Linked DNA regions of Mus musculus. The protein of the gene in region 3 purifies or fractionates together with the protein of the main gene of each other region. This does not show direct contact. Links are inferred from orthologs where the notes say so. Each region holds a gene or a part of one and is shown on either strand. Other genes may lie near its edges.

What was found.
Region 1: the proteins of Pop4 (region 3) and Rpp25 purify together in Homo sapiens (affinity purification with mass spectrometry; 3 studies listed by BioGRID and IntAct, counting the BioPlex papers as one, with this or other methods). This does not show direct contact. The link is inferred for Mus musculus from reciprocal best matches to the Homo sapiens genes POP4 and RPP25.
Region 2: the proteins of Pop4 (region 3) and Rpp38 purify together in Homo sapiens (affinity purification with mass spectrometry; 4 studies listed by BioGRID and IntAct, counting the BioPlex papers as one, with this or other methods). This does not show direct contact. The link is inferred for Mus musculus from reciprocal best matches to the Homo sapiens genes POP4 and RPP38.

The regions. Positions count from the first base shown.
Region 1 is NC_000075.6:57,498,179-57,508,443, reverse strand, and holds Rpp25 (ribonuclease P protein subunit p25), read right to left. Parts: upstream 4,343-10,265; 5' UTR 4,208-4,342; coding exon 3,608-4,207; 3' UTR 2,997-3,607; downstream 1-2,996. UniProt on the Homo sapiens protein: Component of ribonuclease P, a ribonucleoprotein complex that generates mature tRNA molecules by cleaving their 5'-ends. Also a component of the MRP ribonuclease complex, which cleaves pre-rRNA sequences.
Region 2 is NC_000068.7:3,326,848-3,337,740, forward strand, and holds Rpp38 (ribonuclease P protein subunit p38), read right to left. Parts: upstream 5,782-10,893; 5' UTR 5,680-5,781; intron 5,652-5,679; exon of another isoform or gene 4,383-5,651; coding exon of another isoform or gene 4,281-4,382; intron 3,610-4,280; coding exon of another isoform or gene 3,512-3,609; intron 3,027-3,511; coding exon of another isoform or gene 3,017-3,026; coding exon 2,174-3,016; 3' UTR 2,102-2,173; downstream 1-2,101. Other genes in the region: Acbd7 (acyl-CoA-binding domain-containing protein 7), read left to right, coding at 9,363-9,374. UniProt on the Homo sapiens protein: Component of ribonuclease P, a ribonucleoprotein complex that generates mature tRNA molecules by cleaving their 5'-ends. Also a component of the MRP ribonuclease complex, which cleaves pre-rRNA sequences.
Region 3 is NC_000073.6:38,260,651-38,271,041, forward strand, and holds the end of Pop4 (ribonuclease P protein subunit p29), read right to left. Parts: intron 8,305-10,391; coding exon 8,252-8,304; intron 8,010-8,251; exon of another isoform or gene 7,821-8,009; intron 6,946-7,820; coding exon 6,719-6,945; intron 5,555-6,718; coding exon 5,477-5,554; intron 5,312-5,476; coding exon 5,250-5,311; intron 3,780-5,249; coding exon 3,678-3,779; intron 2,660-3,677; coding exon 2,523-2,659; 3' UTR 2,170-2,522; downstream 1-2,169. UniProt on the Homo sapiens protein: Component of ribonuclease P, a ribonucleoprotein complex that generates mature tRNA molecules by cleaving their 5'-ends.

The DNA.
Region 1 (10,265 bases), on a different chromosome or scaffold from region 3:
CTATCCTGGTTCTTGCTCTGTAGATTGACCTTGAATGTAGAGATCAGCATGGGATTAAAGGTGTGTACCACCATGCCTGGATCTAAATTCAGCTGGGTAGGATCTTGCCCCAAGGTCCCACTCACTTAATCTGTTATTTCCTAGAACACAGGATTTTGCTCCATTTCACTTCCTTGTATGCCTTTAATACTCGAACCATATATTTTATATTTTGCCTTTCTAAGCTTGCTATACTTGTTCAAACTTCTCTTTGTGAGACTTAACCAGGGAACAAAGTCTTTGCTGGGCTTTTTTGAAACTTCCTTTGTCAATGCAATTAATGCAAGTTTCTTCGCCTTAGCCTCAGGCAGACTTTTCAGACAAGGGTAAAAAGTAGCCACATTCTTCACCAAAATACCACAAAAATAGTCTTTATGCCACATACTGAAATTCTTCTCCTTTGAAATCTCTTGGGCCAGGTCAACACAGTTCAAATTACTCCCAGCAACAAAGTCTTCCATATTCCTACTAGGATGACCCATCAAGCCCCATTTAAAGCATTCCACTGAGTTCCAAATCCAAAGTCCAAAAATCCACATTCTTTCAAATAAAAGCATGGTCAGGCCTATCACAGCAATACCCCATTTCTGGTACCAACTTCTGTCTTAGTTAGGGTTTTACTGCTGTGAACAGACACCATGACCAAGGCAAGTCTTATAAAAAACAACATTTAATTGGGGGTGGCTTACAGGTTCAGAGGTTCAGTCCATTATCATCAAGGTGGGAGCATGGCAGCATCCAGGCTGTCATGGCACAGGCAGAGTTGAGAATTCTACGTCTTCATCCAAAGGCTTCTAGTGGAAGACTGACTTCCAGGCAACTAGGGTGAGGATCTTATACCCACACCCATAGTGACACACCCATTCCAACCAGGTCACACCTATTCCAACAAGGCCACACCTTCAGATGGTGCCGCTCCCTGGTCCAAGGATATACAAACCATCACAGGTGGGGATACAGTAAAGAAAGCCATGTGTGGCTTGTTGTCTCTCAAGAGAGAAGGTTAGCATTGAAGCTACAGGAGGCATATCCTTTTTCCCCACCCTAGGACATATTTCTAGGCTGAAAGGAGACTTGCCTGGCCCATCAAAGGAGCCTCCATAGCCTTGCCTTCCCGAGATACCAAAGCAGGCTCTGCTTGCATAGTCCTAGAATCAGGGCAGTCATCTAGACAAGTCTCTAGCGTTCATGACTTCTAAATCTTTTTTTTTTTTTCAAGACAGGGTTTCTCTGTATAGCCCTGGCTGTCCTGGAACTCACTCTGTAGACCAGGTTGGCCTCAAACTCAGAAATCCGCCTGCCTCTGCCTCCTGAGTGCTGGGATTAAAGGTGTGCGCCACCACCGCTCAGCATGACTTCTAAATCTTATCTTCCCTTTAGTTTCAGAAGCCCAGTAGTCCAGGGTACCTTAGTTGTCTGGATAGTTTACTGTTTCCTAAGACACTTTGTCCAGGCTGGCCAGTGGTGACACTTTGTACACTCCTCCATGTGTAGCCAAGGATGATCTTTTTTTTTTTTTTTTAGATTTATTTTAGTTATATGTAAGTACACTGTAGCTATCTTCAGACACACCAGAAGAGGGCATCAGAGCCCATTGCAGATGGTTGTGAGCCACCATGTGGTTGCTGGGATTTGAACTCAGGACCTTACAAAGAGCAGTCAGTGCTCTTAACCGCCATCCCTCCAGCCTGATCTTTAATTTTTTGTATTCCTGTTTCCACCTCTAGATTCAGGTAGTACAGGGGTGCACCACCATGACAAATTTACATGGTGCTGGGAGTCAAAAAACAGACTTTATACATGCTGGGCAAATGCTCTCCCAGCCGAGTTACATCTTCAGTAACTTCAGTCTTCCATGCATCTTACTCCACATCAGGCCAACAAACACATCTAGATCCCCTGGCTCTCCCTAGGGATTCCTCAAGAACAAGAAATAGAGCTGGACAAATTACACACCTGTAATCGCAGCATTTGGGAGGCTAGGGCAGGAGGATCAGTTCTTGTCCAGCCTGCACTACATGGCAAGACCTCTCCTAAAAATAAATAATTAAGTCAGGAAGGTGGGGTGGGAGGTGAAAGGCAATGATCGACAGTCTGGATGACAAGAGTCAGTGATCCAAAACACAAGCAGAGATACTGGGAAGAGAGAAGAGGCTTCCCCAAGGCGCCCTCCATCAGCTGCAGAAACCCACGTCCTCGCCAGTAGGATTTATTTCAAGGTTCTACAGGCAAAGTGACTTACAAATTTATTCTCTCCCATCTCCTTTCCAGAGGTGCTGGGTTCCATGGGGTAGCATCTGCTCTGAAGATTCTGAGCTGTACGCTGCACAGCTCCCCAGCACACAGCACACCCCCGCCCCCTCCAGGCTTGGACTTGGGCTGAGAGGCATCTGAGGCTGTTATCTCTCCACACACAGCTGTGCAGGGCTGGAGGCAGCGGCTTATCAGGGAGCCCGCAGTGATTCACAGCCCAAGCTTCTCTGCTGAATAGTAATTTCCAGCAGTGGATTTGTGCTGTCTCTCTCCTCCCCCTCTCCCAAGGGTGTGCTGTCCTTTTGCAGAGAGAGGGCAGTGAAGGGGAGCTCCTACTCTTGGGGCTTTGTGCCTGCCTCTGGGTAAGAATGTCTACTGCGAGGAGCGAGCAAGGTTAGAACCTTAGCATGGTCTGCCGGCCTTGGCAGGCTGCCGCCTCCAGCTCATCAATGCTCCCCCCTCCTTCCCCTCCCAGAGAAGTAGCAAAACTGCTTCCTTTCCCTTGTGGTGATACAACAGTGACACAGACCCCGGCCCCCTCCACCACAAGTCCCTCTTTCAACATTTTGACACTGCCCCAGTCTCTGTGTCTGACCTTGAAGACTCCAAAGGCTAATAGGGTTGAAGGCAAGCATGCCAAAGTGGTCTCTGCACAGGCGAGTGGGTAAGGAAAAAGAAAAAAAGAACAAAACTGAAGACAGAGCCATTTTCACGTTTGTTTTATTGGAAGCAAGACTCCAGCAGGACTCGGGGAGGAAGCATGGCAGATTTTGTCCTAAGTCCCCTCTCAGCCATCATGCAAGGCGGGTGGGGGAGGGATGCTAAAAGGGAATTGCTAGGGTGTGTGTGTGTGTGGGGGTGCAGAATAGGGTCCGGACATTTTCAACTTGGCCATCCTCAAGTAATCAGCTCCGTAGCTCCCGCTCTCAGTTAACAGCAAAGATGATTTTTAAAGCCTCAACTGTCAGCATCCATGCATACTGGGTGCTTTTAACGTCTGGGTCCCCAAGAAAGCTCAAGAGTCCCACTACCCACCATGCTTCCCTAAAAAAGACGGCCTAGCAAAGGTGTGGGTGGTGTTCTGTGGCTTCTGGTAACATGTCCCACAAAGTTTCCTTGGACTTCAAGGATCCTCTCTTCTCATTCCTGAGCTCTCTCCTGTCGCCTTGGGATCCGCGCTGTCATTCTGAGGACCGGTGTCCAGGAACATGGGCCCCTTAAAACCCAGGTATGAAAGGTGCGTGTGTTGAAAGGTATGCAGGAGTGTTGAAGATATATGATTCAGTCGGTCTGGGTGGCTCAGAGGCGAGAATTCTCAGGCGGTCCTGTCCTCATTCTCAGCCTCTGGCTCAGGCTGAGACCGCTTAGCGGTGCCTTCTTCAGCAGCAGATTCCCCCAGGCTCCTCTTGGACGTCGACACCGTAGGAGGGGACGAAGGACCAGGACTGAGGTTCGGAGGCTGGTAGCCAAGTTGTCGTGGATCCAGTGCGTCCTTTGAAAGTAGGATGGCGAGGCTCGGTACATTCTTAAGTACACTGAGACTGGCGGCCGGATCGCTGGGCGTCTGACCCGGTGTGGGCCCAGGCGGGAGGCTCTGCCACACCTCGCGCACGCTCCGGTAGCGCAGCCGCGTGACCTGGTGTAAGCCCGCCAGGCGGCGCTTGAGAATCTCGGCGCACGTGACGGTCTTGGTGGTGGCCCGGCCGCAGCCACTGAAGACGATGGCGCGCGTGGCTGGCTGCGCCATGCTGGCGGTGGCGAAGGCCAGTAGGTTGCGGATCTTGCTGCCCTCCTTGACCCGCATGTGTACAGCACCGGGTGCCAGATCTGCAAAAGGGCCAGAGTTCGGGCTGCCACCCTCATCACCGTCCCCCGCCGGCGCCTCCTCCGAGCGCACCTTACGGAAGTTCTCCATGCGCCGTCGTCGCTGGGATCGCAGGTTTTGCCATGGGGCCGCCTCAAGCCCGGGGCTGCATGGCCGCGGGTCGTGCCGGGCGAGAGCTGGCAGGGATTGGGGTGCCGGCGCCGAGTGAAGGTTGGAGGGTGGGCTGGGAACGTGCAGTCTTCAGCCCAGACTTCTACAGGGTAGTGATGTTCTACTCTGCGCCCTCGGCACCTTGTGCTCCGCGCCTTTAGCAGAAGCTCCGCCTGGGAGCCAGATAGGACCCGCCCCTTCGCCCAGGACCCGCCCCAACTCTGCGTGACTTGTCCCAGTCCCTCCAGCCTTTGGGATCCAGCGCTGGAGCTCAGCGGCTGGGGTCACAGAGCCACGGGTGATTTGGGAGGTGAAGTTCTCCGAAGTCACCATCTGTTCTCCCTGAACCAGACCTTATGCAGGAACAACCTAAATAAATACTATGCTTAAGGTTCAAATGCCGACTCAAGCCTGGTCCCTGAGCCCTGCGGGGTTCCAGCGCAAGGGCATCCCTAGACCCCTCCTAGGTAAGAGATCTCCAAACCACCTTTTGGGGCTTCGCTACTCCACCCCTCCAGGGACCTCCCTCCCGTTCTCTTACTATATTTTTGCGTCAAGGGCAGCCAGTGCATGGTCAGCAGAGAGTGGGAGGCGTTGGCTGCGGCTGCACGCAGCGCCTTCCCTGGGCTGGGACCGCTACGTCGTGGCCTGGTCCTTGCGTAGCTGCTTAGAGAGACACTAAGCTTTGCTCCTCCTGATCATACCTCCAGGCTCCCGGCACCTATGCACCTCTGAAATGCAGGAAGTGATGCGTTGGGCCAGCCTAAAGTGAATGGGGAACAGGAGACCATTTCTTCCAAGGCGTTAAATTCTTATATTCATGCCTGAAAGTCCTTTACTGGAGCTGCATACATGTTTATGAGCGTGGCTCAGCCCGAGCTAACGCCGGATTCCTGACTTCCAATTCCAGGTGGAATTCCTTGCCAGTCAGCCTTGGCCTCTAGAAATCCAGAGGGTTGTTTTTGTTAAAAGGAGACTGAGAGAAGACAGGTTTTAAGAGGTGGGAGGCAGGGTGGAGTGCCTTGGCGGAATGTGTGTGTGTGGGGGCGGGTACTTGCAAACTCTGGGAACTCCACTGAATCTGAGCAGAGGCTCGGGCTCTGCTGCGAGGTGAGGTGGGCAGTAGAAAGATGAGGTCTGATCAAAGCAAGACTGTTTAATAAGGAGTGACCCTGGCCTGGGGCCACGCCCTCAATATTCAATCCCGTTTCCATGGAAAGGCAGGGAGGGAATCAGACAGACGTGGGAAGCACCGGGAAGGAAGACGCACTGAGGACTGTAAGGAACGGTGTTCTCAAAGTATCAGCAAGATGGTGTTTGGATGAGCACAGCATCAGTCTAGGGGGAGAGCTGCCCGGCCCTCCTCTTCCTCTTTGCTATCTGTGACAATTCTCAGCCCCTCAGCTCAGAACAACGAGCTTATATCTCATCTCTTCTTGGAGTGTGGCTGCAGCAGCTGGACTTTTTATTTTTTATTTTTACCTCAAGTGTGAGTGACTGGCTCCAATCTCCTGCTCACACTCCAGGAGTGTGCCCCGAACTGGGACTCTGCCCTGGATCTAATCTTAATTCTTGTAGATTTCACAGGGAGAAGCAGGCTCTGGAGTCCCAACCTTGGGGAGACCCCACGACTGAGTGCACTCAGGCAAGTGGTGGACTTAAAGTCGGCAGTTTTGGATTGATCTGAGAAAAAGTTCCAGAAAGACTAGAAGCTATGTAGGAATGTGCTGGTTGGAAAAGAAGAGAGCTCTGCGTTCCCTGGAGTATGCAAGCCTGGGTTAAACAACTTGGAAATCATGTAGGCCGTACACTACAATTTGGAAGATCTGGGGGCAGCAGGTTTGTTCTGAAAAGAGTGAATGGTTGTGCCTCTACCCAAGTTGGCCCTCAAGGACACCGCCACCCTCTCCCAGTACCACTACCCTCTGCCAGAGACTCTCCCATTCACTTTATTTTCCTGTGGAGGGAGAACGCAGAAAAGGCCCGGTTCCCCGCCCGCGCATCGCTTCCTTTCCAGCTCCCTCAGCAGCACTTAAAATGTAAATGCACATCGTGATTAGCCGCGGGGTCGCTAATTACAGCTGAAGCCATTCATTACGCTGTCAGCTCTCTCCATCGCCTGCCGGCTGTGCAAGTGGGGAGGTGATGGGGGAAAAGGATGTGGGGACAGCTCGATGCTGGCAGCCTGAAAGCCCAGAACTGGCAGAGAGGCGGTGAGCCGAAGAAACCGGTTGGACCGTGAAGAAGCCGTGGTGTCAGAGAGGGGAGAAAGGCGGGAGGCTGGAAGGAAGGAGATTAAGTGAGGAGGATGAAGAGGAAGGGTATATGAGAAGCGATACCAGGATGGGAAGAAGGCCAGAGGAGGAATCGTGCGAGATAGGTAGGAACCTTCCAAAAGGGGACAGAGGACAGCGGGAGGAGGAAGAAGGTCCAACGTGGGGAAAGTGGGTAAACAAAGGTACTATCTTTGCTGCACACAACATCACGGTTAGAAAGGCAACCAGGACGTATGCTGAAAAAGCTGGTTGCCCGCCAAACCCTGCGGATACGTTTGCATATGTAAATGTATTTTTAAATACTTACAAGAAAACGGCACACTGGCATCTGTTACCTCTGTAGCCACATTCAGATTTTGTTGCTCTCTTTAAAGGCAAGGATAACAGAATACGGATAGGAAATTAAGTAAGCGTAAAGTCTTGGAGGAGCCTGTGTAATTGAGGTACTGACCCGGCAGTCCAGGCTTCATTAGCCTCTTTCTGCTTCTTGTGACCTTGGACAATTGACTTAACCCTTGTGCCCTGGTTTGTCACCTGTAAAAGGAGGGTAATTATAGTAACCTGCTCACTGTGCCCCTGAGTTCCTGGGACACAGTAGCTGTTATTTCTTTTCTTATGTTGTGATTAAAATAAAAATTTAAGATTGCAAAAGGAGGGGTGAGAGGTGAGAGGATCAGAAGTTCAAGGTCTTCCTTAGCAGCATAGCAACATACCTCTCCTAGGCTACGTGAGTCATCAGATTTAAAGAAAAAAAAAAAAGAGTAAAGATTGATGAGAGGAAACAAAGCTGGGGTGTGTTTGACGTCGAGAGAGACAGAGGTGGGGAGAGCCTTAGATGCAGCAGTTTACAGAGAACCGGCCTGTGCTCTGCAAAGGCTCTTACCAGCAGCCCCCTGGAGCAGGAAGGAAAGGAGACACTTAACCTATTGAAGCAGAGGCAGGTAGATCTCTGTGAGTTCAAGCCAGCTTGACTGGCCAGCCAGGGCTAGCCAGGGCTAACCAGTGAAACCCTATCTTCAGAAAAAAAAAAGAAGAAAATGAATATTTATTTTAAGAAAAGGTCTTATTTTTGAAGTCCTCACTGGCCTGAAACTCAAAATCCTCCTGTTAGCCTCCAGATCGATGGCTGCAATCACCAGAATATGCTGTCCATACCTCCTGAAGCTCTTCTTCCATGTGTAAATGCGTGTGCAGGATTTGACTCTCTCTTCCTGCTATGTGGATCGAACTCTTACAGATCAACAGGCTTGCTGGCAAGCCCTTTACCCATGGAGCCATTGCTTGGCTCCCGCCCCCCCATCCCCCAAGACTTAAATGACTTGAGCCACCCAGGAAAGGTATGGGTTGAGAACCACCTGTGGTAGTTCATGCCTGTAATTCTGGAGAGAAGGCCAGAGGACCGGCAGTGGGGAGGCCAGGCTTGGAAATCTGGGGTACATCAGACCCAGTCTCAAAACAAGCAAGAGTGGGTGATGGAAAGATGGCTCGGTAAAGAGCACTTGATGCTCTTCCGGAAGATTTGAGTTTGGTTCCCAGCATCCGTGTCAAGAGGCTCATACTACCTGTGACACTAGCTTCAGAGGATCTAAAGCCTCTTTGAACACTTACATGCATGCATGTGTGCACGCGCACGCGCACACACACACACACACACACATGTAATTAAAAATAAAATAATTTTTTTGAGACAGGATCTTTTTATGTAATTCTGGCTGTCCTGGAACTCTCTATGTAGATCAGGCTGGTCTTAATTCATAGAGGCCTCTGCCTCTGCTTCCTGAAGGCTAGGATTAAAGGCACATATCCTACACCCAGTTAATTTTTTCTTTTTTAAAGAAAGATATGGGTTGTCTTTGTGGAGAGAGAAGGTTTTCATGGTGAAGGAAATGGACTGGCTATCTGCTATTGCATAAAGCGGTTGCCCCCAGTTTAACAGCTTAAAACCATCAGCATTTCAGATTCTGAAAGTCATAAGTCCAAGTCCAGATTGAAAGGATTAAACCTCTTTACTCGGGTTCTCCCCAGAGGCTGCAGTCAGGGTGTGGACCAGGTGGAGCACCAGCTCCTAAGCTTATCTCCTGTGTGTTGGTTAGAGGTCCCTATCCCCTTTGCTGGCCCCCACATGATGAGAAGAGTGGACACACACACACAGACAGGGGGGTTGGGGGGAGGAGAGGCAGTATGTATTGCTTAGTTACAGGGCATCGTAGCCCACATTTAAGGGAACTTAGCTCCCTTCTTGAAGGGAAAGTACAAAGAATTTGTGGATATTCCAAAATACCAACAGATCTGAATGTCTGAGGAGCAGATTTAAGAAGGAAAGGAAGCAGGAATTAGTCCGTGGAAGCCAAGGGCACCAGCCCTGAATCAGGAGGGCTGGATTTGCTTCCTAACATACAGAGATTATTTTCATAGACACAAAGGTGGTGAATTTTGCTGGGCTCTCCCAGGGGCTCAGTGGGATTACAGATACTAGAATTCTATCGATTTACCAGTGTCATTTAACAGAGAACCTGGGCTCTATTTCCAGCACCTACATGGCAATTCACTATCGTCTCTGTCTATAGCTCTAGCCCTAAGAAATCCAATGCCATCTTCTGGCTTCTGAAGATGCACACAGGGTGCACAGACACACATACTGGGGAAACATTCATACACAAAATAGAAACAAATAAAATACATTTAAAAATTAAAAGCAGGGGCTGGAGAGATGGCTCAGTGGTTAAAAGCATGGGCTGGGTTCAATTCCCACATAGCAGCTCCCAGCTATCTCTAATCTCAGTTCCAGGGGACCCGACACCCTCACACAGACATGCATGCAGTCAAAACACCAATGTACATTAAAAAAATTCAAGAGCAACATTAAATATTAAAAAAATTAGAAACAAAACCCCAGAAGGAAACAATTACAGTATCTACCTCTTAGAAGTGTCCTGTTATTCCCCTAGCACCTAGGCCAGAATACTCTTCTCAGATAGACTACACTGCTGGCCCAAGGCTTAGCTATGGAACGGTGATGCTTGTAAGCAAGCCTGAAATACATTTGCTGTTGTTCCCTTTTGTTTTAAGGCATGGGTGTGGCATGAGAAGGTAAGGCTTAGCGGGGTGCCTAGCTCCCTTGGGCGCCGAGTGCCTTGGGCCCAGCTGCTGTTTACAGGCTGGAATGCAGGCCTAGTGCTTTTATTTTGATTGCGTGATTGAACATTTTCTGCTTCATTTCAGTGGAGAGTGGCAGAATCAGCTTTTCTGAATGCTCTCTGTATAGCGTTCTCTTTCACATCCTGTAGAGTCGGGCTCCTGATAAACAATGTCATTTCATTGCTGCACAGACCCTTAGGCTCTGCTGTACTGGAAAGACACCTGCAAAAAAAAAAAAATCTCCCTCATGGAGGTCACCTCTCTTCATTACAGTTGCCCCTGTCTCTTGGATACTGAGAATGGAAACAGCTCTTTCATAAACCATCCCTGACAGCCCCATCTTGCACCCTGCCATCCCAAAACAGAATCCCAAACCAAGCTAGATGAAGCTGGGCTCCTCCCAGTTCAGGAAGATACTTGGTCAGATTCCCTTTATGACAATGAGTGTCCCCAGTCGCCAGCAGGTAATTAATTGTATTTCCTTCTCTTGAGTGAAAGATGAAGTTAATCAAACCTACTGCTCTGAAGAAAATCATCAAGCACCTTGACCTATTCTGGCAGACAGCATATTTTATATATTTGAA
Region 2 (10,893 bases), on a different chromosome or scaffold from region 3:
CAGATGGTCTGAATGTTTTTATTATGCAAAATTGCACATGTTCCTTTATGCTGACTTTAATTTATCATGAAAATTGTCATGCTAATGGAAAATGTCTTACTTGTAAATAATAAGTATTCATAATTTTGTTACTGATGTTGTTTTTACCTAGAATTTGAAAACCAAGTTTCACAGTGTACATATATGTGTATATGCTGCCACTAATCCAAGGGAAAATAAAATACTAAACAAGGCCATTGTATAGACTGGGCCTTTAAGTCAGATGCCACAAAGTAGATACTTCCTGCCTTTACTACAGTGCCTCCGCTCCAGTCCAGACAACATGGCATTTCCTTCCCTACTAGAAAGGAGTCACCAAATGTGACTGTAGGCTGTCTCACCTGTTGGCTGTTCTATACAGCTCACAAACTGAGAATGGTCTTTTTTTTTTTTTTTTTTTTTTTTTTAAATCGTTGGGGGAAATAGTCCAAAGAATTGACGTTTTGTAGCATGCAAATCTTAGGAAATCCAAACATTTTATCAGAATACAGACATATCTTCATTATGTCCTAACTATGGTTGTCTCATGCTACAAAGGGAAATCAAGTAGTTGTGACAGACTGGACTGTATGTATTGCCTGCAAAGTTAAAATGTTTGCTCTCTGGCCTCTTGTGGACAGGTCCTAAATAGGCCACAAATTGTGCCATTCCTGATATTACCACGAGAGGGGGCACCTGGGCCCCACAAGTGGTGCAGAAGTGGGACCAGTGCTGGACACAGGACAGATTTCTCATTATACATGTCCAACTGTCACATTTCTAACAGAACACCTTCAGGAAATGAAACTACCTATTCATTACAGCACTGTGTGGAAAGTCAAGCAGTAGGTGAGTGAGTCAGTCAATCTGGATCTACAGCTCTTTGGCAATTATTGCACTCATTTTTATGTCTTATACAAATTGAATTTTCAGGTTAGAATTTTGTCATGGGCTTATTTATTATTTACCTCATGAGGAAACTGTTAAAACCATTCCTTTAGAGATTTGTTTATTGCACATTGCAGTTGTTATAGAACTTTAAATACACTAATAGTTAACGGTGATGTCTTCATAAGTTAAGCACATGAGCAGTTGGTATTTTAGAGAATTAGTAGCCAGAGCAACTGCTTGGATATAAAATAACTGTTAAAACCAAATGTAAAAGCAACAATCTCAAGTTACACTGCCCTATGCTCTCTGTATCCATATTGTGCTGTAAGGTTTCTTCCCTTCAGAAACAGGAAATTTGTCAGCAAGTGGAACAAAGTGGTACAGTCCATAAGTTCATCCAAAACTTGGGATGAAAAAGTTTTGCTATCCCACTCACCTCCTAAATTCCACAATGACTTCCAGACAGAGTGGATTAGTAAAGTCCTGACAGCTCCACTCCCAGCCAGAAAGACCCATCACTGTCTTGTCTGTCCTCGTGCCACATGTCAGCTAAGTACTGCTGTAATAAGTTCTGGCTTAGGTTTTGTTTTTAGAGTTGTTAGCTTTGATTTTTGTTTGTTTTTGGTGCTGGGGATCAAGCCAGGGATAGTATGTGCTGGTAAGCACATATTCTGCCATAGAGCTCTGCCCCTAATGTACTCTTGATAGATGTTATATATTACAAGGAAACTGATGATGCGCAGGGAGAGAATTCTTATGAAACAACCTTATCAGGCTTTTGTTCTGTATCAATTAAGCCTTTCTCCCAAGCCTGCCTTGATGCTTACCTACAAAGAAAGCCAAATTACCACAAAGTAAAAATGACATGCCGCTCTGAAGGCAGTGTACTGCTTAACATTTAGTGTCTCTCTCTCTCTCCGTTGCAACTGAGGACTTTCTTCAGTTGCTTCACCCACCTTGCTAGACCATGTCTGTGGCCCATTTTCCAAGTTCGGTAGAGAAATGTTAAGTGCTGTAGGAAACTGATGTTCTTGCAAGCAAGCATTGTACCAGCCTTTAAAGCAGTGAATTTATATGCGCATGGACATTAGTCTTAATAAACTTTGGTTTTGTTAATCATTGTTTTGAGTGTTTTCTGTACTTCATCTGCCCCACCCAAAGAGAAAAGCACCTCCATGCAGGATCCTAAGAATATATGTAAGTTTTGATTTTATTTCTTTCAGTGCTCATTTAGACATTAGACATAGTGACAAGTCATACAAAACTACTTGGAAATGGACTTTTTACTTTTGGGTGGTTTTCTTATCTTACTAGGGTTGGGAATGAGCTTTTTTATTTTAAGGGGTTGTAATGTTGCAGCTGAAGCTTGTCCACCTTCAGCAAGCTTCCTCTTACTAAGTTTTGTAAGGTCATCAAATGACGTGTCCAAAATCTCGTTGTCCTGGCTTTCCGAGGGTTCAGTCTCTAAACTGTCTGTGGGACCTTGGGTTCTGTCTGGAAGCCATGGCACGTTTAAGCTGGGCACCCTGGGAATGATGGCTTCTACTTCATCAGCAAAGTCCCTGGTGTTCTTTCTGAAACCCAAGGCTAGCACACATTTTAAGCCAATGACAGGAGCAATTCTCTCGCTGAGCTGAGGTACCTGACAGGCAGGAACAGTTCTGCTTAGACTCAGCTGAATCAGGTGTGAGGTGATGATGGCAGGCTTGACTGACTTACACACTAGAACCAGGAGCAGTTCATTCCTCTCCAGAGCTCTGGTGACTTCATTAACACCAATGACCAGCTGTTTCCTGACGTGTACAGGTGTCCACCCTGACACCAGCACATCCCCATCAGGCTCTTTTGGATCCTCGCTAATCTCAATATCTGGCCGGCAACTTTGCTTTTTCATAAGAGCTGTTTTTTTCCTTTTCTTCTTATCTTCAATTTTCTGAAGTCCAATCAATTTAAACTTGGCTTCGAGAGTCTGTAATATAAAGTGTATGTCTTCTCTCTCCAAGGTGCTCCAGGAAATAACATAAGGGTTGTTTAGTGATGTTTTTACAACCAGAGGTCTAGTCTTCCGAATAGATCCCCTCTTTGGTGCCTGAGGGGCTGCAGCCATCTTGAAAACCCTTTGGAAAGAAACAAAATGATGAAACTCCTGTCAGCAATGCATGTCTTGAGAACATTTTGGTTATAGTCTCCAGTCTCTGTTGTTTTGTTTTTTATTCCAGGCTGATATGCTACAGCAAGTCTAATTATATGGGCCCAACTAGATAACCAGTCAGAGAATTTCTGTGGCACAAGGAAGACTTAATTCTCCCTATTTTTTCATGATGCTCAACAGGCAATGTGAGAGTGACTGGTGTTAATCTTACAGATTTGTGAGCATCTTCCAAACTCTAATTGGAATTCCACTCATTTATTTTAAAAATGTTAAAGACATTTATTAGGTTTGGGGTCATAGCACATGTGGTCAGAGGACAGCTCTATTAAAATGGTTTTCTCCATGTGAGTCTCAAGGGAATGAACTCAAGTCACAGGCTTGGTAGTAAATGCCTCTTCCCTCTGAAACATCTTGCCAACCCCTCATTCATTCATTTATAAGCATACTTACTGAGTTACTGCAGTGGGCAGATGGTGTTCCAGACACAGATGCTGGTGGGCTCTGAAGCCCCTGTGTCTGCCCACACAGAGCTTAACCTTCTGTAGTCTCTGAAGTTCATAATGAACCAGGTCAGATTTTAAGAAGCAAAACCGTAGTAATCTGTCCATGGCTAAAACTTTAAGTCTCCCTCCTCTCATGATTCCCAAGTCCCTAAAACATTTGAAACATGCAGGCCCATATTTTCCCTCTCACATGATTATAAGATGACTGCTTTGGCGGGCAATTTCATGAAAAATAAAAAAAATATGAAATTCAGAGATTAATCCATTAGGGAGAAGTAAATGGGCTGCGCTCCTTCCAAAAGCAAATCCGAAACAAAACACTGTTATTTGTTCTTCCTATAATAATTAACCTTACAGACAAGTTAGGACGTTAACTGCTCTCTTGTCGGGCATTCATTCATTTAAACCCTGTTTATCCTTCCCAAAGGCAACTGTATACCTCTGCTCTCAGTTGTCTCCTTCTTAGAGTTCATCTGAGAACTATGAAGACCCAGTTGACAAACTTCAAATAAGTCCCCCCTGCTTAAGGTTCCTCTAATTCAGGGCACTTTCTCCACGCATCTTGTTCCTAACAAACTTACAGAGTTCCCTGGCATGGATTAGGAAGCAGACTCACTGTACAACTCACAGCTAGTTTTTCTAAAGACTTCTTTTAATCATGGATCTATCTTAGAAATAACCTGTGGTTTTTAAGAACCATCAGATGGCTGACTCACCCTAGAGCTTACTGAGCTGGAATTTCTGGGAGTCAACTGTGCCACAGGTGCTGGTAAAAAGCTGCCCAACATTTGGAGATGTTGATGTGAGGCAGGTGGCATCTCCAGACTGCACGGCCTTTGGAGATGGTGTTGCACTCACTCCCAGTAAGAGCTGCAATCTTGATTCTGTCAGTGCTGCCCACTGCTACAGACACTGGCTATAGCTGCTTCCATAATAACTGCTTCCATCAATCCCCATGAGCTGCATGCTCCTCACAAGCTAAGAGATTCAAGAACAGGTCGTCCAAATCTATCGAGGTGACCAGCAGCTGGTAGCTAGCTTTGAGTAAAATGACCAGGAAGCAAGGGACAAATGGTCCCACCACAACGCTTGCCAAACTGCAAGTCAGCTACTGTCCCTGCCTAGCATGGGGGACACTCACAGATGCTCTGCAACCAAGGGATTGCAAGATTGGGATGTATGTCTCTGATTCACAAAAACCTGGAAGGGGAGATGAAAAAAAGAACCAAGCCTACATAAGATGACCGCCATGCAATACTAATTTTTAAAATGCTGAATATTAACAGGTTCACAGAGCTTGATCAAGTACCTTGCCAACTATGTCTGCAAGCTGCTACTGCCTACAGGACCAATTACAAACTCAAAATGTTTACTCCCATTTCTCAAGCATTTCTCCTTTCACTCATCACCCATATTACAGATTCTGGCTATTTAATGAGGCCTCTGGTTTCTCATGTCCTTATTCAACGTACACTGTGCCTGGTAGAGCACTTACATACATTTTTTTCTATCAAATTATTATGAATTATCCTTGCTGTTGCAGGCCATTAGGCATTGGGCAAAGCAAAAAGCTTCTGCGAGTAATAAAAACGGCTCACTCTAAAGCCAGAGTAGTGAGGTTATCTTGAGGAACAGGCCTTAGTTGAAGTCTCTGGAGAAAACGACCATTAACCAACCGCAATCTAAAATATTCCTCCTTTGAAGGAATTCTTTAGATAGCCCAAGAAGGAAGCGGGCAGTGAGGGATTACAGAAGAACATTAAAGTTCAGTATCGCCCGAACAGAGATGCTGGAGTTGAAGATACTGGGTAAGGACAAGATGGTGACTCTAGAGCCTTTCAAGAAGGGCGGCGCGATTAGAATCGCGTCACAGAGACCTTGATTTGGGAAGAGACCCTAGAAAGGCTGTCAGCAGCAGAGAAGCTCCCGCGGTCTCGGGAGGACGAAGGGGTACCCGCATCACACAACACGACGGAAGGAAACCCCCGAAGGCAGGGATCGGCTGAGACCAGCCGGAAAGAACCTCAGGGAGAGCGGGCTCTGGATGACCCCCACCCCGCGGTGACCCGGGTGCCCACGGGCCGGGACTCGAGCCACAGGCACGCACGCGCCCACCTGAGCAGAAGCGCCCCGCGGAGACCACGTGACGGATCGCTTCACTACAGCAACTCGGTCACTACCAGGAACCACTGCGCCCGCTCCACGTGCGCCTGCACTGAGCGTGCGCAGAACACGAGCTCCGCCTACCTGCCTCTGCATTACGTCACTCCCAGTCAGGGACGTCAGGCGTGGTGTGTGGACTAAACCTGGCACAGCACTGCGCAGGCGTGTATTCTGTCTCGCGAGAGTCTGTGGTTGCTGTAGTAACCAGCCTCTCCCTTCTGACTGGTCGTCCAAAATGACGATGCGGAACAGCTCGGTTCTGTGAGAGGTTCGTCTCTCCTTTTGGCTCTCCATTTTTAGCCCAGTTGCTTCTGCCTTGCTGTCTCTTTTTGTTCTGGGGATACAAAACTCCAGCCCTTATAGCCACCCATTCCCCTGCACGCGTCCCTGGGAGAGGCTGGTTACTACAGCAACCACAGACTCTCGCGAGACAGAATACACGCCTGCGCAGTGCTGTGCCAGGTTTAGTCCACACACCACGCCTGACGCCCCTGACTGGGAGTGACGTAATGCAGAGGCAGGTAGGCGGAGCTCGTGTTCTGCCACGAAAATCAAATAAATAGGGGTTATAGGGTTGCATGTACTTAGAGATTATGTGTAGAATCTTGGGCACACTGAAAGGAAAATAGGGGCTGCATTTAGTTCCACAGCAGTACTCCAGAGTACTCCGGCAATAGCTGTTGTGCCTTCTGACAAACGGAGACAAAAAATAAGAAAGGTTATGAAACAAAATCACTGGAAAGTTACAACTGGTAAGCAGTGGAATAATGTACTAAAGATTAAAAATTACGCACGCCTTTAATCCCAGTACTCGGGAGGCAGGCGGATTTCTGAGTTCGAGGCCAGCCTGGTCTACAAAGTGAGTTCCAGGACATCCAGGACTATACAGAGAAACCCTGTCTCAAAAAAACAAAAAACAAAACAAAACAAACAAAAAAAAAAGGCAGGAGAGATGGCTCAGCGGGTAAGAGCACTGACTGCTCTTTCAGAGGTCCTGAGTTCAAGTCCCAGCTCACAACCATCTGTAATGGGATCCAATGCCCTCTTCTGGTGTGTCTGAAGACAGCAACAATGTACTCACATACATTAAATAAATAAATAAATAAATAAATAAATAAATAAATAAAAATTACTTGACAGGAATTACTTTCTGTTCTTATGAATTTGGGAGGATTCAGGTCCTTCTCTTTATCTTCCTCTTTTTTCTCGGTGTTTTCATTGCTCATTTTAGACTAACATATAGGATCTAGCTTCTACGTTTCCATTATTCACCACCTATTGAACATTTAAACAGAACAAACACTGTTGCTTGTGGTCAAAGATTGTTGAAGTTTTTACAGGAAAAGCGTGCTGTGGTTTCTATCACAAGTAGATGAACTAGATTAAGTTCGGTCGAGTTTTGACTGTGCCATATAAGACGTCCTTTACTATTACCCGCAGTCATGTAGCGCTAAAGACAAATCGCGATGGTAGAATTGAAATACTAAAGGTTCACATAAAATCCTGGCTCGTGGAAGACTGAGACAGGAGGCTGCAGACTGGGCCTTCGGGGCCAGAACTTGCACACACCATAACAGAAAAATAAATAAATAAATAAATAAATAAATAAATAAAAATAAAAAAAGGCAGAAAGAGGGGCAAGATAAAGAAGTAAAAAGGTAATGGCTATGAGTGTTGTCCCACCAAAGTTCCAGCTCTTACATTACAAGCCTCTGCCGCCAGGCTGCTATGTTGACACCCTAGCCTTCCCACTAACTAGTGTCCCTACACCTCAGGCAAGTTAATTAGCCAACTATGAAATGATAAAAATAGTGCCTATTCTGAGGATTAGAAGAATATTCTGTGTAAGATGCTTACCACAGTGCCTGCCACATGGTACATGTCTGACAAATGGAACCACTATGACCCAGTGACAGCTGTGGCAGAATTAAGTTAATACAAATTATATATAGCCGCTACTATTTTGGGCCTTGTTTTCTATTTGAGAATTTAGCAATCTTTCCACAAGGATTTTACCCAAAAGAATATATCTCAAAGGTAATTTCTTTCCATTTGTGTAGCACAACTTTAGTTTATGTTCATATTTTTTTCTGCAAACATATGCTTCCTGTAGTTTCCTAAGTAGTATATGTGTATATGTATGTATATATATATATATATATATATATATATATACACACACACACCAAACCAAATGGTCAATTTACTTTTCAATTATAGCTCTTATTTTACATCAATTCAGTTTTTAATTTTTATTTTATTATTTTTATTTTATTATTTTTATTTTATTATTTATTTATTTATTTTATTTTTATTTACATCAATTTATGTTTATGATTATGTTTAATCAGTTTATGTTCAGGTTTTTTTTTTTAACAAATATATGCTTCCCATAGTTCCCTAAATTACTATGCATTTGGTAGTCTATATATACACTAAATGGTCAATTTACTTTTCAATGATAGCTTTTATTTTACATTGTAAATAAGTTATGTTTGTGAATAAACAGTTTATAAATGTACCATTTATGATCATAGTTAATTTTATAAATATCTCAAAATATTTTAATAACTTAGAAGGTTTATGAAAGTATTCTTTTTGTCTTAATTCTTGAACTGCTGGATTTAAAGGATACAACAATATAACATTAGCTTAAGAGTCTGAGTCAGAAATCGTAGCATTAGAGCTGACAATACAGTCTGTCAACAAAATGTTCAAGAATTGAACACTAGATTCTTCTTGCTTGCATGGAATTCTGAGCTTTGCCCAGCATTGTATGCTATTGTGGTTTTGTGGAGTCTACAAACATACTGTTAATAACGATTATTTTTAGTTTTTTAATTAGTGTATAGTAATTGTCCAAAATATCCACTTCATTATGGCCTTTCCTGCATGTCTACAATCAGTCCAACATTTAAAAGTCACTTAACTGGGAATGGACTTTAGTAACGAGATACCAAGTCAAAGCACAGGCTTCGAGTCTGTGCCATTGGAGTGTCTATAGCCACATCTGTGTCCAGGGCAGCAATATGAATGGGAGGTGTCTTGAGCACTCGGGCCACCCCAGGCAACAGTGGGTAGCAGTGCCACCCTTCCATAGATCAGATCAGTAAGGAGAAAAGGCGCCTGGTAAGGTTCAGAACATTTGTGTATAGTCATGTAAGCACAAAACCAACACCATGTCTCGAATTCCCGAGAGACGCTATCGGCCATCCCTGAGGTCAGGTGACAGGTGTTATGTGTATTCTCTCTGGGTTAAGGAACAACTCTGAAGAACTTCAGCACATACAGTGCTATAGTTAACACCGCTACACCCAGAGGTAGAATGGAGAGGCAAGGAAAAGGGAAGGAAACAGCCACAGTCTCAACTGAGGAGAGGCAGCGGAGGCATGCGTGCACCTGCAAGTTCGCCTTAGTAAAAGAAGAGAGAGGAGATTAAATGAGCTCCGAGACACTGGGCTGAGTTACCTCCCAGACACTCCCTCCCGCTCCTGTGGCCAATTAGTCCTCCATGCCCAGAGAGCAACCAATAGGAGAGACCGGAGGAGGAGCACTGCTCTTTAAGCAGCGGAGCCCGCTCCCCGGGGACTCTCACTCTGAGCTGGGAGAGTCACAGCATTCCGTGTCTCATCATTATGTCCTTGCAGGTAAGCCAGATCTGGGAAGGCCATGCCAAAGCAATTATCCGAAGCGCTCTGATGGGGCGAGAGGAGGTGTGGTAGCCCTGGGACAGGACAGGGGCAGGTAACCCCCAGGAGCCTTCTGCTGCTGCGACCCTGCAGTGACTCCCACACCTGCCTAAGCAGTGTGGGGCAGTATATTTCACAATATATTGTACTTCACCATCTGTTGACAAGGACCCAGGATCTCTATAGCAACCTGTTTGGCCCTCTGGGAAAATTACCCAGATCTGAAGAATTGACAAGCTCCTGGGGGCGGGGGCTTCTTCACCTCTCTCTCTTAACAACTCCAGGAAGCAAGTGACATCCATTGGGGTCTCCACATCCCCTTGCTCTTGGGGACCTCGGGAGATTTTCATAGATGTGTTTTGTTGAATAACAGGGCTAGATTATAAAGCTCTGACTTTACTGTTTTATTGATAAGAGTGAAAAGAGAATAAATAGGAATTAAAAACCAGGAAGCCCTTTTCTCAGATAAACACATATAGGTTGCTTTTATATATAAATGCCCTCTTTCTATGTGTGTATAATGAAAGGTGTGCGCGCGCACGAGTTCTATCTGCTGGCAAGCCTGGAGATCAGAACCTTCAGAATGCACATGGTAGAGAGAGAGAAGTGTCCCTTGCAATTGTTCCCTGACCTCCAAATGCATGCCATGGTACATGTGCACCCGCATATATGCCGTAATAAACATAGAGCAAATAAAAGAGGAGAGAGGCAGTTAAATGAGCTACCTCCATGGGCAGCATTTAAAGCAGCATTGGAGAAGGGAATCTTTAGGATTTAAAAGTTAAAGAATATCACGAAGGGACAATGAGCTAAGGCATATGAATGCCACCCTGACAATAGGGCAGCATTGAAGGCTAGCCTTAGTTCAATAATTAAAATTGATACAGGGTGTGGGTTTCTATTACTATCAGTGTTGAATGTATTAAATCTATTATTGCTGTAATGAAAATGTTCTTTCATTTCGATAAAATAAGATTCTAGTTTTAAAAAATATATACTTGCTAGATATCAGCATCAGTATGATCAAAGAAAACTGGAATTGCAGTCACTGAAAGTTTAAGTCACTTTGTTTATGCTTAAAGAATAAATTGTTACAAATGAAAAGTTCTTAAAACATATGTGTATTATTTCAATTTGAAATTCTTACCAATGTAGTAATATAACAAAACATGCATTATATTCTAGATGTGGGAGTGTTAGTTCAAGTCAGGAGTGACAGTACACACCTGTCATCCCAGCACTCAGGACTCGGAGACAGGAGAATCAGGAGTCCTAGGCCATCCTTAGCTAGGTGGCAGACTCAAAGCAGTGTGCTACATGAGACCCTGTTTCGGAAAACCACAAAGTACTTCAAGCAGAAGAGAAAGATAAAGGCAGGTTAGAAACCCATTAAGAGAAGGGATGAGGCATGTGTGGATCAGTCTGCAGGTTACCTAGCATTCGGGAGTCCCTGGGTTCAATAGAAACGTAGGGTGAT
Region 3 (10,391 bases):
AAAACAGGAGTTTGAAGTGTAGCAGTTAGATTGAGCTGGCTGGTGGCCTAAGGATATGATACACCAGAGGAACTCCAGAGAACCCCAGACTGTTGTCTGCTGATTGGAGTCGGGGCTGGATACTGACACCTTCCTGGTCATCTTTTTCTAATTAGGAACATTCTATAGCTGTTATTGTACTGTGCACTAAGACTCCTCAAATTCCTATGTTGAAGTCCTAACCTCCAGTATGACTATGTTTGGAGATAGGATCTTTAAGAGACAAATTGCTCATAGGGCAAGATGTTAATTCGACGGACCAGTATCATTTAGATATACTAGAGCGTCCCTTTCTTGAGGATAGACCATATGAAGAGTGAGAGGTGGCTGCTGACCAGTCAGGAGGTGTTAGCAGAAACTAACTTTGACAGCAGTGAGCCCTTTTTGAGGTGCCAACTGCTCTTCCCATTGGTTTCTATCAGACCCTCCCTGGCACCCATGTTTCTATAGTGCATGGTTTACATTCAACAGAGCTCGTTATTGTTTCTACCATAGTCCTGTTCCTTGGAGACAGAGTCACAAGTGACAAGTACCATACCACCCTCCATGAAGCTCTGAACTGTAAGGATTTGGCTAGCCATACTCTATGTAGTCTCATGTGCAACTTCATCAGTAGTGCTTGGGAAGATGTTGTGGACCTTGGTCCCCTGGGGGAGGTTAGTGATACAACAGTAGCACATCCTAGACAAGGCAAAAAGCGCAGAGACAGTGTGACAGGGGAGCATCACATTGTCTTCCCTGAGAACATCCTTAGCTAGTCAATGGAAACTTGAGTTGGGGCTGGCCCCAGCAAGTTTTCTGGGACATAACTATGCAACATAGTGTGCCTTTTTCATCTCAGAGGGTGTGGATGAATAGTTCTGCTCGATGTTATAGCACACATGCGGTTTCACTCAGGTACAACAGTAGTCACTGGACACAGAAGATGGTGTTCCTTGTAAGGAACATATACATACTTGATTCTAGTCTTTCACATTCTTGTGGGTATCCTGCTGGGAAGCCCATGTCCCTGAGCCAGCCTTTCTGGTTCAGATCTCAGCTTTCCTTGGGTAAAGTCAATGAGACCTGAGTAATGCTCACTTTCAGGGTGAGAGCCCATGTGTGCCCTCCACCAGGGAAACAGGGGTCAGGTGGGTCTGGGGAGTGCCATGAGGAATGTCTTGATGATGTAGATAGAACTGGGGTCCAGAGAGTGGTAGAACAGGTCCAGACTGTGGTACTTGGGGGTGCTGGTTAGTTAGAATTCCCATTGCTGTGAAGATTTACCATTCTAATAAAGGAAAACATTTAATTGGAGGCTGGCTTAGAGTTTCAGAGGTTTAGTCTGTTATCATTGTGGGAAGCACAGCACCATTTAAACAGTCATGGTGCTGGAGAAGCTGAGAGTTGGACATTTTGATCTGGAGGCAGCCTGGAGGAGACTGCATTCCAGACCATGCAAAGCTTGATCACATACCTGAGACTTCAAAGCCCACCTCTCCAGTGTCACATCTCCTCCAACAAGGCCAGAGTTCCTTAAGAGTGGCACTCCCTATGGGTCAAGCATTCACACACGAGTCTACATGGGGCCATACTTATTCAAACCACTGTAGGTGGTTCTGGGAGTAAGCATTCTATTTTTCTGTCATATGAAGAATGTTAGCCTTACTCATTTCTCTTCCACTCAGTGTGATCTGAGTCGGAGCCATCCAGGAAGTGACCCCACCAGCACCACCGCCTCCCTGTGAGTGGTTACATGTGTTGCCAGGAGAATTTCTGAGTTGGCTGGCAGACATTTGCTTCTTACAAGCAAGGGGCAAGTGATTCCTGTGAACCAGGTTTCAACTACAAGGCTTTCATGATACCAGCCTGGAGTGCTGGCCCAGTTCCAATGGTACTGGCAGATCTGGCCCTCTGCCCCATTCTGACTACTGTAGCCAAATCTGAGCCATCTAGCAAGCTCACGACGCCTGTGTGTGAGAGCAGCAAAGTGTAGGCAGCTCAGGGTTTGGAGCTGAGATGACTTCCAGTCAGATCTGATGTTTCATACCGTGAAAGCAATCGGAGACGGGAGGTGGCCATGGGGTGAGGGAGCCACAACCCCCCCTTCCTTTCAACCCAGCAGAAGTACAGGAATTTGAAGCCATTTATGCCCGTGGTCTGGTTTTATTATTATTTCAATAGCTGATTTTGTTAGAATGTTCAGGATACACAGAGAAGTAGGAAAGGCAGAGCCTAAATGCCCCCTTCTTCAGATGACCCAAGGTTAATCCTGGTGTGTTTCTGCTAGTCTTTCCTCCCTGTGGAACTAAAGCTAACTTAAGGTCACCTAACAGTACAAATATTTACCCCTAGCTTTCTCCCGAGTTGTTCGATGCTCTTCAGCCCCTCTGTTTTCCCTGGACTACAGACGGGCTACAGCCAGAGGCTCTTCAAGAAAAAGTGAGTATTTAGGGAGTTTCCAGTTCTTCAGTGTCAGGGACATCTGTCTCCAGTGGCAGAGTTCACAGGTCAATTGATCCCTTTGCTTTGAACTTCTTGGCAGACCGCTCACTTGCCCGAAGCTGGAATTTGCTTCCATAAATGTAGGAAATGAAGTCATCAATTTCTATGGTGAACACACAATTCAGCTTGGGGATGACTGAAGGGAAAAAAAAAAGAGGGGGAAAAAAGGATGAGAAGCAACATGGGGAGTGCATTCATTTTTGTGTGGAGCATTATTCATACATACTTGTATTCAAGTGAGTTGGACAGGTGTGGTGGCACACACTTTAATACGAGCACCTAGGAGACAAAGCCAGGCAGCAGGCAGATTTCTGAGTTCAAGGGCAGCCTGGTCTACATAGCACGTTCCAAGCTAGCCAAGGCTAGATAGTGAGAATGTCTAAAAAAAGTCTATAGGAATGAGGAGATCAAGCCAGAAATACCAAGGGAGACATGGGCCATTTGACTCAGTCTAAATGTAACTCAATGCCTAATTACAGGTTCTGGGGTGAATGACTCAACTCCCACGACCGAAGGCTCCCAGGCCCACCACCAGGTAGGGTTTTCCATACAATTTTGCACAGGTTCTTAGATGTGTGCTCATGAGGAAACTTCTATACCACTTCCTTAGACTTACAGTGCAAGCAGAACATCATGGAAAAACAATGAAGCAGGGCTCTGGGGGTAAGCCAGGGGCAGAGCGCAGGATTAGTAGACAGAGGTCCTGGGTTTAATTTCCAGAATCAACAGATAAAGGAATGAGTACAAACCCTCCATCTGTTGTTTGAATCTCTGGATATGTGGGTAAGGTCAGGTACAGAGACCCCAAAAGATCCAGAGTACCTGCTGGAACTTGCTAAAACTCAAGAGAACTAGGGTGCAGTTCTCAGAACTCCAGGTATAGGTTGCTTTGGTTTCTCCTGCCTTTCTTTTAGTTACTCATTTGAGAGGTGGTGACTTTGGTAGGTAGAGATCCAAGAAACAACCAAGCAGTTCTTCTGTCCTGTTCATGGACAGGCTGCAGGCTGTGTTCATAGATGTCTCCTGGGAGAGCCACATAGGCAGCGACCTCACTCACATCATAGTAAGCACTTGCAACCTGTTTGACTCCACAGGAAAGCAAACCTGGAAGGGAGATATAGTGGCATCTGATACCCTGGGGACACAGCACTCACCTTTTAGGTGGTCTTCTCTGGTGATGATCTTAAAGACATGTTTGGTCTCCTGCAGAAGGATTCCTGTAACTCCCACATAGGAGGGGCACTTGGATTTCGTGACTGCAAAGGAGAAAGGCAACTGACTGTAAGGACTGGGTGGTGCTGGCAGTCATTGCCAAGCCTCAGAGACAGGAAGATGGGCTTTTCTAAGCTGAGGAAGAAAGTGCTCAGAAGATAGTGGCTCTTGGGCAGTGACCCAGCTAGCAAGAGCCCAGGCTTCCTAGCCCCTTGTCCTGTGCTTCATGATCTCTTGGCTATTCTTGGGTGTCCTTTAGTTTTGGGCAGGGTTCTGGAGCCGAGAGGTAATACACAGAACCAACAAGTCCAGTGTACTGCTGTTGGAGCAAACACCATGGGCAGGGCATCTATCATTTACTTTTGGGTCTCCTGAACTTTGTCTGGAATGTAGTCCTTCTATAGAGTTGCCTAGCAATGGCATGAGCCACCTCATAGGCAGGCCCCTTTCCGCTTCCGTGTAGTCAGCATTCACAGAAGAAACTATGTGCCCAGTGAGCTAGGAGGGTGCTGGGGCAGGACACTGAATGAGATGGTTTGTATTCTGCTCCTGTGGAGCTGAAGCTGTGGTAGAGGACAATGTATAGTAAAACACGGGCAATTCTAATTCTTGATACTGATAATGGCTACAAGGAAAATAAGAACAGAATGGGGGTGGAAGAAGAAACTTTAGTGCTAGTAGACTCTCAGAAGTGACATCAGGAAAGGGGACCGAGGTACATGCATATGCAGAACCCCTTGGTTGAATGAAGGACTCAAGCAAAGACAACTGGTGTGCAAGCTACAAAGTGGCCAAAGGACACCGAAGCTGCTAGAGGCCTAGAACGGGTAACGTAAACAGCAGTCTGAAGTCTGACTGCAGCCTTCATTCTGGGTATTTAACCTTGTAGTGTATGTGGGAATAAAACAGTATGTGACCTGGGCAGGGTGTGGGGAGGCCAGAGAAAGTAGTCGCAGCACCTTGAGGGAGTGGGTCAGATTTGGGAGCTAGGTGTGTTAATGTCCTTGAGGTAGAGGATTGGGGAAAGAGGTAATTTGTATGTACTTCCTAGTTTCTAGCCTGGACAAGCTGTGCTATTCTAGGAGATGAGGCAAGCAGATCAGAGACAGCTGACCTCAGGGGACCAACGGCTTGGTGTTGGATAGCTAATCTGAGGTAGCTCTTGGATGTCCATCCAGGCAGCTTTGGGTGTCATGGGGTGAAGGAGTCGTGGGAAAAGTCTGCACTGGCGGTGACCCCTTGGAAACCATGATGGGAGGGAATCTGGGCCCAAGAGAATCGGCTAGAGCCTCGATTCCAACAGTGTGAGCAGATGGCACCAAGAGAGCACTTAGTGTGTGTTTAACAAGGAACCAGGATGGGTTAGATCACAACTATCTCAGATCCTCACTGCTTGTGACTTGGAGATAGTTCAGGGATGCCAAGTGACAGATGACAGGCTGAATGCTGTGACACACACTTCACTTACACTGAGTAACAATCTCCAGATGACTATATGCATTCATAGAAATTACCTGAAATAATAGCACCATGAAGATCTGCCTTTAGGAGCTTGGCCTGAATCATCTGTGGCTGCCTAGGAGGTGAAGAGCCCACAGAGAAGAGTCGGTAACAAGCCAGTAACAGTAACTGCAAACACAAACACAACCCCACAGCCTGCTGGTTTCTCAGAGCATCTCTAATGCTCTCCAGGCTTGGCATCTGCTCCCATGGCTTCCACGGCTTCAGAACTAAAACTCACGTGTCCGGCTTGAGCCCATTGCACAGGTCCCGGATGTACTGTTTCCAGAGTTCATGGAGAGGGAGGAACAGGCTGTATCTGTAAAGAAGCCAGAAGCATGAGCTCGGCGTTTACAGCGCGCAGCACACAGAGCTGGGCTCCAGGCTGAGGATGAGCGTAAGGGAGCACCGGAGACTGTGTGGGAGGCCAAGGCTCTCCAAAGTGCCAAGTAACTCCCCAACCTGCTACTCGAACTCAATTTCTTCCCTGGTAGAACCTCTTCAAGGCTAAATATCTGCTCTCAAAAAGGTGGTCCTTCACCTAGATGCCCACCCTCCTGGCCAGACATACGATGGTGGAGCCCCTGGCTCAGACCCCCAGCTGAAGGTGGCGATGCACCATCAGCCATAATGACCCAGGTGCTGTTCATCCACATTCCTTTTCCCAAGACAAATGAGCAAAGGAACATTAGTCTTCTTAGCCCACACTTCCAGGAGGTTAAACTTAATAGTCCTTGGGAGGAGCAATCCCTTCTGTAAGGTGACAGGACTGTGTAGAAGGCGAGAGTAGAGCCCGGAAGCTTTCCTCTGGGGTGATTATCATATGTCTTGGTGCACAGGGTTAGGCAGTCAAGAACAATGGCTCAAATCAGAAACAAGCACTTCCTTCAAGGAACCCAGAGAGGCAGATCCTTGGCAAAGTGACACTGTCATGCCATCTGGGACATAGAAAGATATGTGGCTAAAGTGCATTATACAAAGCCAGTAAACAGTAACTGCAAACACAAACTCAGAACTATATCAAGAAAGACATCCTCCCACAAGACAGTGATGTATTCCTTTCAGAAATGTCTGAAATGAGTAGGTGGGACCGTTCCTTGGCAGTAACCTCTGAGTGGGTGATACTGTCTAGTTATGTTCAAAGCTACAGGAAAGTACACATTAAGGCATATCAGTTCCTCTTTTCTAGAAAGCTGAAAGCAAACAGCCTGTTGCCATGGAAAACAGACTCACTTATTATTAGTGAGGCTAGGACAGAAGCTAAGTGATGAGAACCCTCAGTCTCACCAATGCCTGCCCCTCAGAGGCCAAGCACAGGCACAAGGAAATTGGAAGGGGGAGGCTGCCCTCTTGTGGCAAGAAGTACCTGAGCATGAGTATGTAGGGATGTCCAGTGAGGCCCCCCCCCCCCCCAGTCCTTGAACCCTGACAAAGATGACAAGGCAAGGTTGGATGGTAAGACCATTAGGAAAGATGGGCATACCTCTGTTGCTCTGGTTTAATGTCAAAGAGCCGCATGTCTCTCCTCTGTTTGGCAGAGAGGCCTTTGGATTTCTTCTTTGGCCTTGGCCTTGGCTTTAGGCGAGTGAAATATTCCAAGATCACGGCCTTGCGCTGCAGATGGCTCTCACAGTCTTCTTGGCTCATGTGAGGTATGCTCTGCTTCAGGAAGGCCCGCACAAAGGCCTCAGCCCGCTGGCTTCCCAGCTCCTGCTCGGAGACATAGTGGTGTTGTTCACGGTTCTTGTGCCCACAGACCCCAGGGCCCTCATACCCTGTTCCAGAAAGCCACTATCTTTGCTGATCCATCTCTCTATCCACTGAGGCTCACAAATCTCTTGCCAAGTGTTTGCTACGCACAACTGCCAAGATGTAAAAGAAACACTCATACACTAATTGTGACAGTGTCCCACACTGCAGCCAGGTCAAACAATGACTTCCTGTCCTGCTTCTTGAGGATCCTCTACTGAGGATTCAAAACTTTTTGTAATTTAGTACTTCTCTAATCCTTGTGGGGAAGGAAGTTTGAGACATGGATGATAGAGGTTAATCAGTCATGACTACAAGGCCAGCTTAAAGGGGAAGGGAGCTGGGGTTCTTAGGAAAACGAGCCAGTCTAGCACTAGGGGAAACTGCCTGTGGTTTCCAGGAAAGTCACGTCCTTTGAGGGGGCATTCTGACAGTGAGCTTCACAGTCCTCTTTAATCGCTTTTCCTCTGGAGTTAGGGCAGCAACAGTCTATTCCTCACTGGGCAACAGGTACCTCACTTGGCCTTCATCACCTGAAACCCTGTTACCTGAGGACCAACCTCTTCCCCGGGCCATTGGCTGGGCTCTTTTTTGCACTAACTGCACAGTAAGGCCAAGTCTGGGCTAACTGCCAGCTTTAGGTTAACGTATGAATGCTGACTTCTACCCTCTCTATGGTAAAGCAAGGGAGTGAAAATACAGAATACACAACCTTCAAGGTACTTGAAGGTAGGGATGGCTAAACAATCCATCATTGATATGACGACAGTTTGGTTCTTTTAAATATACATGTGGTCTCTCTTTCACTGGGAATTAAAAATTAAAGGTTAACTGGCCTTTTAAAATCTTGACTTCAAGGCTATGTTCTCTTTAGGAGCCACAGGTGAAGCTGTTGCCCAAATGACAAAGCACCATGAAACATCCAGACAGAACTTGTAACATCCACTTAGGAAATGGGCTGAGCACTGACCAGGATACAGAAGCAAGAGCAAGACTGGCTTCAGGTGGGCACAGGCTGCCATTTCCTGCAGAGTGGGAGATGACGGGAAATCAAGGAGTCCAAGTCCCTCAGAGCTGACTCTGGTGCCCTAAGAACAGAGTCTGGCTCATGAAGACATCAGCACAAAAGATGTCTATGGGGCCTGATATTCAGAGTGTAAAGTCAAGGAGGAATCCATGGGAAAGGACAGCTAAGCCAGTCTTAGAAGATACTGAGCCAGCTTTGCCATCACCTCGACTGCTGGCCGCCCACCCCTGAAGACTGTACCTGCACATCGTGGTCCTTGGCTTCTTTATGAGAAAAGGCATGGTAGATGGCAGCTGGGGGAGGAAAGACAAACATATGGAGAGATGATTATTCCTGTTAGGAATGAGAATACTAGCCGGGGCTTTTCTAACTATGCTAAGAAGTACACTTATTCAGAGAAGGAAGACTGGGTTAGTAGAAAAAAGAAAAACGTTCTTGGTTGATCCCTTTTGCTTTACTCTGCAGTGCTGGGGGACTAACGCCAGGGGAGTGTAATGTATGCTAGGCAAGTGCTTCACTGTGGATACAGACCCCAGCCCTCTTATGTGTTACTCCTTCATTTTAAGATAAGGTCTTGCTTTGTATCCTAGGCTAGCTTCCAACCCACATCCTGTTTTAGGCTCCCAGGTGCTAGTTGCTGGGATTATACACATGAACCACCATAGATACTTCTTACTCTTCCCTCTTGCCAACTTTGTCCTAGAAATTCCCAAGATGTAGTTTTTTTAAAAAAGTACTCCTCAAGCCGGGCGTGGTGGCGCACACCTTTAATCCCAGCACTTGGGAGGCAGAGGCAGGAGGATTTCTGAGTTCGAGGCCAGCCTGGTCTACAAAGTGAGTTCCAGGACAGCCAGAGCTATACAGAGAAAACCCTGTCTCGAAAAAAACAAAAAACAAAACAAAACAAACAAACAAAAAAAACAAAACAAAATAAGAACTCCTCAAGGCTTAAAGAATCGCTGGGATCTTATTAAAACGGAGGGTTTTGGTTCCTACTCCAGACTCAGCATGTCCAAAAAAATTCCTCGCTGGGTCACATTTAGAGTTGATCTGATTTTAAACACCCAGGAGGTATAATTATACTTGGGCAGTGGCCCAGTAAGTCTAGTAAGTCTAGACACTAAAAGAGAGGAGATATTAACGGGTAGGCTGTATATGGTTGAAACACTACATTTTGCTGACTACTAAGAGAGGCTTAAAACAGATTTTTCACACTTTAAAATCTATAATGTATCCTGACCAGATAAAATACAATAGTCTTTTTCCAAACTCTACATACTATCTTCATGATGATGAAACCTCTTTAAACCTCCACAATCCTGTTTCTTATTTGTTTGGAGGCAATCATCATGGTGGCACTGGGGCAGAGACTACAGGAGTAAATGGGAAAAGGAAGGGCCCATGACCAGAAAGTGCAGTTCACACTACACCCTATACACTGCACTTCTGAGCTGGGTGTGGCGGCACACATGGTTGATCCATCCCATTACTTGAGAGGTAGAGGCCGAGCTGGTTCACACGGTGAGCTCCAGGCTAGTCAGGAGTACATAGCTGACTTTATCCCAACAGCAACAATAAGAAACAAACAAACAAACAAACAATCCATCTCTGTCTCCCTGAGTATATGCTTGACCCAAGCAAACAAACCAAGGTACCACAAGTTTTATATACAGAATCTAGCTCTCTCTTGAACAATGGATCAAGATTGAACTTTATTGTGATAAACATGCAGGGGCTGGAATCCCAGGAAGAACTTTGTTTTATTTACCCCAGATGCCTCGCATCAAAGTTGAAAGTCTTTCTGCAACATGCAGTAGGTGTGGGACACTCACAGCTTGTCAAGCGGTTGGTTGAGTGAGTGTGCATATATATTATCTTAATGTCATTAATCTTTCTAAGCAATTTTTAACAGTAGCTCTTCTTTGTTATGCACATAATAAAGTGGTAGCTGAGACACGCTAAGAAACTTGTTCTCAGACAAAAAGGGCATGAATCACCAAATCAGAGGCAATATCTTTACCTCTCTCCTCTAGTACTGCCCCAGTGCTTGGCTGCCCTTCTGGGCACAGCTCTTTTCGGCTCAAATTCCAAAGCCTTAGGTGTACGATACTGCCCCTCAGCAGCTTTTTACAGGGGCAAGGGTGAAAACCAGGTGGCAGAGGGGTGCAGGTCCTTGACAGAAGTTATACGGGAAGGTAGTAGCTAGGTCCGGTCAAGAACTTGGACCCATCTCTTCTAGTTCCCCCGAGAGGCCCCTGAGGAGAGCACACAAACTCGATCCTGACATTTATTCCTAGCTAAGAGACTGAGACGGCGGATTCAGACTCCGGGCCTCCATTTCTTTTGTGTACTAAGGTAATTCCCTGGAAGTTGCCTTAGG